Caenorhabditis elegans: one gene and its partner. The protein of the gene in region 1 purifies or fractionates together with the protein of each later gene. This does not show direct contact. Each region holds a gene or a part of one and is shown on either strand. Other genes may lie near its edges.

Region 1 (5,127 bases):
CAAAAATTTTGATTTTAGCTGAAAATTGGCCTTTTTTTGCCAAACTTTGAACCGCATCTAACTTTTTTTTGAGAAAATTTCATAACGTCTCATTACGAAAATCGGTAGTTTTGGGAAAATACACAGTATATCGATTGACATTCTAAAAAAATTGCACATTTTGCCGTTTAAACCCCAAAATTAAATACAGCTCAATATATTTATCGGTGCTGTAAATGCATTTTTCCCTTGGTTTTCATAATTTCTCACTTGAGTCTAAATCCGATCAGAAATCAATTGACCCCCCCCCCCCCCTTCGGCTCTCGGAGCAACAATCTCAAGAACTTGTATTTGCACATTGTCAAACATAAGTTGACATTCCCCAGATATATCTCGTACGGTTTGGATTTTACGTGATATATCTTACATACTCGACTTTTTTCTGTACTGTTAATCGATTTAGCAGTGGTAAAGACGTTTTTAATTTGGGCCTATTATTAAGAATGAAGACAAAAACTAAAAAATTTACGACAAGACTCTAATTTTGGGAGGCAGAAAATTGCAGATCTAAATGAGAAAATATAGACCCCTTCAAAATTTTGGCTCTCGAGTTTTCCCGTTTACGCACGTGGGGCCAGGCTGTCCCATCACGGTCTGATCTACAAAAAAAATGCGGGAATTCTTTGCTCAAAAAAATGTGACGACAGCACGTTCTTAACCATGCGAAATGAGGTGAGAACTCTGCGTCTCTTTTCCCGCATTTTTTGTAGATCTACGTAGATCTACGGCGAATATGAGACACTCTGACACCACGTGTATATTGTATATTTTCATTCTCAAGACCAAGTACAATTTCAAAAATTTCGAAAAAATCTGAAACCGTGTAAAGTGTGTAGGTGGCAGGCGGCTGCCCTCCTTGTTTGAGGTCATCAAATTATGCAAACTACCATTCATGCTGCCGAAGAGGTGGTAAAAGGAATAAGAAGAAGAACAGTGACAGGTATAGGACGACGCATAATTTTATTACCACACGTCCTCTAACTCTCTTCTCTCTACAATACCTCCTATCTCATCCGTTTTCCCTCGAATGTTACTATTAGTATTTCTAGTATTGAGGGGAGGTAGTTGTATTACGATTTTTGAACATTTTTTGATTTGTGTCGTTTGGAACGGTTTTGTTACAGCATACAGTAATAATGTATGTTTTACCAAAATTCACGGTTTTGGGTCCTGGCAAGAACGGAGATTCGGACAGCCACGAGAATTTTTTTTAGCTTTAAATCTATTTTCTGTAAAACGATAATAGAGTTTTTCTGATATTCTTCAAGTTATTTTTTAATAGAATTTTTTAATTTAAAAAAAACTAATTTTAGTTTTTATCTTCGAGCATCAGAAAAAAAATTAAATTTAAAATTTTTCAACAAAAACAAAGAAAGATTTTTTTTTGAAAAAAATTCTTTACATATAATTATAACCCATTTTCGAAAACAAATGGAACGAAAAATTGAATAACATCACGGGTACGGTGGCTAAACAGTTACGCTCGTGCCAAGACCTGAAACCATGAGTTTTTGACGATTTTTTTGCTAACAGCTACCCATTTCCCCATGCTTATTATAGAAAAAATATCTGAATAATTCATAAGCGCCTCTACTTAAATTCGTAGTTTCTTTTCGTGAGTAGGTCTATAGGTCACCTTCCAGGCCCTCACTAATTAGAAATCCTGAATATAACTAATTTAGTCATCTTCCTGCAGTGCGCGATCCGAAATATCACATTTATTACATAATTAATGGTTATCGAAATTCCAAATTGAATTCTAATAAATTTTCAATTTTTTGACTAATCAATCTGTTTTAATAGAATTTTTTTCAAAATTTTCTGAAAATCGCTCCCCCGCTTCTTCTTCAACTTTAAATTTTCTATCACATGTTGTTCTTTCCCATCTAAAAACTTTCTTATCATCCGGCCCCCTCCTTCACTTGTCGAAAACAATTTTGCACTTATTATTCACTCTTTTTTTCAAAGTTTTGCAAATAAAAAATCTTTGTTTTTTTCAGTACGTTGCAAAAAATGATTCGCCATGAAAGTTCGGATTTTCTACGACAAAAACAGGCACAATGGGAACGGGAGAAAGGTTTTTTGCCAATTTTTAATTGAAAAAAAAAATATTGAAACAAAATTTCAGCCGAATCAGAAGCTCGATCCGAATGGTTTCCGTTTGGTGAGAATTTGACGCCCGGTGGTGGATCTCCATTGAGGAAGTTTGAGCCAAAAGAGTCTGTGGTAAGTTTTTAAAAAATTTAAATTGAAAAATGATTTAAAAAATCATTTTGATCGAAAAATCACATTAGTTTTAACTAATTTTTCTTTAAGAAGTAAAAAAATCGATGAAAATTATCAGAAAAATTGGAAAATTTGTGATGGATCAATTTTTTGATTGACGATAATTATGAAAAAAAACTTTTATTTTTCCGGAAAAAAAATCGGAATTTGGAAGATTTCGGATTTTTTTCGACTTCGTTCCAAAGGGAATCCAAAATTAGAGATTTGAAAAATGGAAGTTTTTGAAAATATAATATTGAAACAAATTTGGCCGAAAAATTGTCTAAATGTTTTTCTTTAATTTTTACAAAAAATTGAAATTTTTTGATTTTTAAAATTTATTTTTTTCAAAAAAAACTGAAATTTTACATTCGTAATGTGCTTTTTAGTGAATTTTTTTAATTGTTAAAAATGGAGAAACGAACCGATTTCTGAAAAAAAAAACAGTTTTTTTCGGAAAACCTTTAAACAAAATCATTTTAAAAATTTAGTTTTTTTTTTAATTTTTCAACAAAAAATTGAAATCCTTATTCTCGATTTTTATGTGATGACGTCATCCTTTTTCTCTGCAAAAATGCCCAGAAAAATGACTATGACGTCACAATTTCTGAAAATTATGATGGAATCTTTCTCATAATGTTACAAAGAAATTCTATGTTTCCAGCCCATTGATCAATGTATTGTAGCGTAGAAATCATTGCTTCATCCTAGAAAAAAGCAAAAAAAGCATCCCTTTTCATATTTTTCCGACCAATTTGCTGCTACCATCCAGTTTTGACCTACATTTCCCCCCAATGTCTCCGTAATCACTTTTTTATCACTAAAAAAGATCTCCGATAAAGGGTGAAAGAGCATGTGATGAACCTCTCTCTTATCAGTAGGCATCGGGAAAATGTTGCCTTATTTTAATACCTTCACTCGAGGGAATTCGAAATTCGCAAACAATTCCCCGTTTCATCAATGATTTTATGACCTCCCTAACAAGTGTCAACCGGAATTTAAAAATTGGGGGAAAAATGACAAAAAAGGTTATCACACTACATATTGAGCACATACACACGCCAATCAAAAATTGGCTCATTTTGATTTGGGTGCATTGATTTTTTTCTCGTCATAATCAGTAGTTTTGTCTAGAGATATTAGTGTCGAAAAAGAACGTTGCTGATTAAAAATGGGCGGAACTTTTTTTTTGCAATCTTGCGGCACGGTTTTTATAGACTTTTAAGCTCTGTCGTTTTAAATTCTTTATCGTAATTAAAAAATCACAATTTTCAATATAGGATTTAGCGTTTTTTTTTTCTGAATTTCAGAAAATTTTGGGTATTTTAAAATGATATCCCCATTTTTGAAGGATATGTTAAAGTAAATTCTGCAGGATTTTGCTTAAAATGTTCCATGTTTCGCAATAAATTTCATTGAATTCATCAAAATTCTAGCAAAAGGAAAAGCTTTCCTTTTCCACTGGGCTCATCAATTGGGCTCAGTGTGCCGGCTGCTTCCCGGAGCATTTCGAAATACTTTCTTTTTCCATCTTTTGGTCACTTTTTTTCCATTTCACCAGATGGGCTTTCAATACTTTCGCTCGGAACCTCTTCAATTTTTAATGATATTTTATCGATGAACATATATTCGAAGTTATAATTATCGGATTTTCATTAGAATTTACACGTTTAGTTTTTTTTTTCGATTGGTGGGTGCATGCAAGGCGATGACTAAACAAATGAATCAGCATCTTCCTACAGAGAAAAAAAAACTAGAAAAACTTCAAAATTACACTTTTCGTGGTGCTGCCTTTTATGTGAACGAAGAAAATTTGTAATTTCCAATTCAAATTCGAATATTTTCAAATTTTGGCGGCGTTCTTTTAGAGTTTTAGGATAATAATTACGCCTTGGTAAGCAGGGAGGCTATTTCCTTATCGAAAGTTGAGACGGGTGTAGTAGTGAAAATTGAATTATATTTTGCTTGCAAGAAATACAATTTACGAAATTTCCCAATGGATTGTGGCGGTATATCGGAGCCTATTGTGGCCTGATTCGTTCCTTGTAACTACACTACAAATACAGCGAAAATAAGTGCAAGAACACAAATTATTAATCCAAAAAATCCAAGATATGGACGGAGTTGAAGGCTCCGCCCTTTTCTTGGCTCTCCATTTAAGGCTTTTTTGGCGGTTTTCAAAAGTATTCTAGTTTTGAAAAAACCTTTCTCCCTGGTAATCTGAATTTTATTCTCGATGAATTTGAATTCTAAAAAAAACGGTGGGCTTCTTCTCCATCTCTTACGACATTTCGTTGTTGTTTTTTCTTCCCTCTCTGCGGCGGTAGCTGTATTCAAATGCAAACGATTGAATCTTTTCAATGAATCTCAATTTCTGTGGTGTGTGTGCGGGAGGACAGTCACACCGTAATCCGATTAAGTTCCTTCTCGTTCTTCTCACTTTCTTTTCTCCCCCCCCCCCCCCCTCTACTCCTGCTGTCACCTCCATTTTTTCACGCTTCGTCGAAATTTTTGCCGGGCTGCTTTTTTTTGAGTCTCAATTTCGATTTTCTCGGGCTTCTCGTGTTTGAGAATGGTTGGGAATTCTCTCACACGGCCATGTGTAGATTTACGAAGGCCGTGTACTCCCCGAAGAAAACATGATTTTACAGTTCTTGCAAAATTTTTTTTGAAAATCTGTTTTTCTAGGGAAAAATTATAGGAATTTGAATTTCCCGCCAAACATTATTTTGAATTTTCTGCAGAAAATATTGGAAATTTGAATTCACAAAAAAAAATTAGAAAATTTCAATTTCCCACAAAGAAAAACGAATTTTTGAATTA
Region 2 (4,055 bases), 3.8 Mb from region 1:
CGATATGGTCAACAGAAGAAAACATTTGTTTATCGTCTTATTATGGATAACTCAATGGAGCGATCGATTTTCAATCGACAAATTTCAAAACATGGACTACAACAAAGAGTAGTTGACGATGCACAAGTTGATGCAAATATTTCGCAAAAAGAATTGGAGACTCTTCTAATGTATGATGAGGCACAAGATGTTAATCATGACAAATGGAATACAGATGATTGGGATTTCGGAGATCCGGTTCTAGACTCAATCACTAAGAGAATGAGTCAAATGTTTGCCGGGAAACCGTTCCTTCATGAAACCTTGATAATGGAGTCAGAGCAATCACTCAGCGAGCAGGAAAAACGAGAAGCTCAATTACTTTTTGATAGAGAACGACGTATGGAGAACTATGATCCATTGAGTGGCCTGAGCAGTTCTAACTTTTATAACAATGCTCCTGGAAGCTCAATGGGAATGATGGGTCCACCACCAGTTCCGATGTTCAATAATAACATGCAAAATAGTTTCAATAATCATTGGCAACAATCTCCTAATCAGCTTGCACCCAATTTTGGATCTTATCCACCACAGCAATTTCCACAACCGATGCCAAACATGTCACAATTTCCACCTCATGGACCATCACCTCAAATTCCATCAATTCGTCCATCACCAATGCCTCACACGCTTCGAATGAATGTCAGTCAATTCCATCACCAAGGAGGTGGTCATACGATGACGTCATTCAACAATGGCTATCCGAATAATAACAATGGAGGAGCTATAGGAAACCCTCAACAAATGCTTCCTCCAAGAGATCCATCAGCTTTTCCGGGAGCTGTTATGAGCAAAATACCATCATTTTCCCCGGCTGGAGCAGTTCAACAATTGATTACTGATAGACGTGAGTTTGACGTTTAAGTTTTTTTGAAAATTCAAATTTTTAGAACTCGTTTTTCCCATTGTCGGACATAGAGATCAGCTTCATCAGGTTCAGGCAAATACACCAATACAGTTAGTTGTTCCGAAAAATGGATATTATGTGAAACTACGTGATGGAACAATTCTTGACGCTGTCGGAAGTGTTTTTGAGAATCGTTAGTTTACTAGAAAAAATTTCGTATAATTTTTTAAAATTTATAGATGCCCGTCAGCTTCGTGATATGTATCTAAGCAAAAATTTCAACCATGATCCGCAGCAGGTTCAAGAAGTCATCGATCTTGATTAACAACGTCTTGCATTTTTTTCTTTTGATGTACATTTCGTTTTTTATCATATAAAATACAACATCTATCTCAATGCAACATCCAATGAGATCTCTGATAATTCACTATCATTTTACTCAATTATTTTTCCTCTTATAGAGGCTCCTAAATTAATTTTAGGCAAGTTTCGAATTTCCACATTTCAACTTTGTCCACACTCTTCCCTTTTATCATTAGTATGTCAATTAATTAAATTTTTCTGTTTTTTCCAACACAGTAATCAGCTCCGCTGTTCGGCAAGCTGCCAATTGTGTTTTATACGCCTTCTCTTTTAATTTAATGAATAAATACGAATAATATTTAAATTATCGGATTCGCTTGAAAGAGAAATTGGAATAACATTTTTCCGCAGATCCCCGTTTTGTAGTGCCTCTTAATAACGCGTTTTTAAATACTGACTTGGTTACTGTAGGTTTTGGTCCCGACACGAAATTCTGAACTCGTTCGGCACGTTTCTTCAATTTTCTTCATTTCTCTCACCCATTTCTGATGAATTAATGGTTTTTAGATTAATTTTTAAATATTCAGCGTTCTGCCAGTTTCTCAAAATAATTTTTTTAGACATTTCGGTCGGATATGTCGGAATTGTCGAGTGAAATGAAGTCAATGGAAAACGGAATGTCGGCGAGAACGGTATTTTTTATCAAATTAATGACAATTTGTAAACTATTCATTTCAGGACAGACAACATTATCTTGAGAGAGCTCAATACTCTCCATGGCCAAAAACTCAAAATAGTGGAGCATTCGGAGCGCTAACTGATCAACCGAGAAAGTATCGAGGAGGATTTGGAGGAGGTGAAGGCTTCTCTGATTTTGGATCCGTTAGTGGACTTGGCGGTAGAATCCCCAGAAACTCCTCTCACCTAAACGACAGTTCTGGATTTGGTTCCGTACGAGGAGGGTACAGCAGTTATCGAGAAAGCAGATCATCTCGTGTTGCTGTTTCGGATGCTCTTTACATGAATAATGAACGTTGCGTGACACCTCTGCCATCTGAGAATATAATGGGTAGTCCACGGCGTGGATCTTTCCGAAGTTCGCCCCGATCCGATGGTATGGGATCTTCATCGAAGAGACCACGCTCTGGCCGCCGAACCGGTAGACGTGGGCGAGGTGGGCCAGGCCACTGCTTCCATTGTCAAGAGCATGGACACATTTCGAGAATGTGCCCGAAGAAGGTTGGAGAAACGGATGAACACGGAGATGGAAAAGATATCGAAGTGGAACCATTTGAGACGAAAGATTTACTCCAAGAAGACGCATCAAGATACTCTTCTAATATGAAGGCTTTGCATGGAGGTTATTGTTTGAATACTAGGAAAACGTAACAATTTTTATGTTTTCAGGTGGACTGTATCAAAGCAAGTTGGACAATCAAAAGGCCCGTGAGTCTTATTATGGAGGGTACGGCTACAGCATCAACAGTCTCACCCCAAGAAGTGTTGGCAGCGTGAGAAGTGGTTTCACAGCACCAATGATGTCGCCCGAAATTGACAAATTCTCAGAGCAGTTGGACAATGCTTTGAAGCTCAGCAATGTCGAGCCGGTAGCTCCGTCGCCATACGTGATGACTATCACTGGAAAAGGGCCAGCTGAAAAATTGATGAAAGAAGTGCCACCAGTTGCTCCAATCAACACTCTACAGAGCAGAGAAGGAGCCAAACGTGAGATTATCAAAATTCTATAATTGTATAATGTTCATTATTACAGAAATTTCTACGGAGACTTTGTCAATCGAGACACGCAGAACTGTGATGCGCGATGGAGAATTCCACTTCGAGGAGACGACTATCATCAATTTCCCACGAGTTCTTCCGCCCAACGTCCGTGTCATCGCTGCCCAGTTCGTGCCGGTCGCTTCACAAAATTCATAATTTCTGATAATTATGATGCTATCAAGGAAAATGTTTAATAATTACTATTGGGAACTCTGCCCAATTTGCAGCGTATTTTTACTGTTTTTCATTGTTGTTCCATTTATTGACTTCTAGGTATTGTTTTTTACGTTCTGGAATTGTTTCTGTCCTAAATTTGAAAACTTGTATTTTTGATTTGAGTCTTCAACCTCATTTCATAAAAGTGTTTCATGTTACTCTCGTTTCATAATTATACACACTCAAACTTGAACATTTTCTACAGTATACTTCATTCAAAGGAAATCTACGCATTTTCAGTAGAACTCGGAGGCGATCGTGGAATTGGCGGAGATTGGGCGAGTGGAGCGTCCGGAGATGGAGTTCTTGGCGGAGGCGGCGTCGTACTAGTAGTCATTCCCAATTTTTTGCGGATTGATTCAAGAGACATGACTTTATCTCTGGAAATATTGTAAACATGAAAAAACTTCTTCGCATATAAAAAACCAGCCGTGGACCGCACCTTCGGCGCGGCCCCCGACTTCTGGGGCTGAAAATTAATTTTTTATGAAACTACCGTAACCCTACAGTATTCCTACCGTACCACTATTGTACCACTACAGTACCCCAACTATATCCCTACACTAACCCTAACTCACTATCCCTCCAGAAGCCAAAACTTCACAGACTACAAAGGCTACATAGACTACAAACTATGGACACACAGAATAAGCGCTTTATATATAGTAAATGATACTTACTTCAAACTAACTTCTACTCCATATCCTTTCTGTGTCTTGCGAATCATGTCCAATACAGAATGATCTTCATCTTGGTTTGAGCTGGAAATTACACATATTGAAAATGCTCCTATAACATGATTGTGAAGTCATGTTTCCGAATAATTAGACGGTCACATTTTCCAGAGGTACTGAAGCTTTAATCTCACCTA

Evidence for each region. The genes of interacting proteins can lie anywhere in the genome.
Region 2: the proteins of T23B5.3 (region 1) and egc-2 fractionate together in Caenorhabditis elegans (co-fractionation; one large-scale study listed by BioGRID). This does not show direct contact.

Annotation. Positions count from the first base shown.
Region 1 is NC_003282.8:12,686,618-12,691,744, forward strand, and holds the start of T23B5.3 (C3H1-type domain-containing protein), read left to right. Parts: upstream 1-2,052; coding exon 2,053-2,116; intron 2,117-2,167; coding exon 2,168-2,265; intron 2,266-4,704; exon of another isoform or gene 4,705-4,754; intron 4,755-5,127.
Region 2 is NC_003282.8:8,899,837-8,903,891, forward strand, and holds egc-2 (CCHC-type domain-containing protein), read left to right. Parts: upstream 1-1,809; 5' UTR 1,810-1,824; coding exon 1,825-1,881; intron 1,882-1,927; coding exon 1,928-2,549; intron 2,550-2,596; coding exon 2,597-2,914; intron 2,915-2,960; coding exon 2,961-3,124; 3' UTR 3,125-3,341; downstream 3,342-4,055. Other genes in the region: rad-54.L2 (Helicase ARIP4), read left to right, coding at 1-886, 930-1,079, 1,126-1,211; Putative serine/threonine-protein phosphatase C27B7.6, read right to left, coding at 3,411-3,564, 3,865-3,945, 4,053-4,055.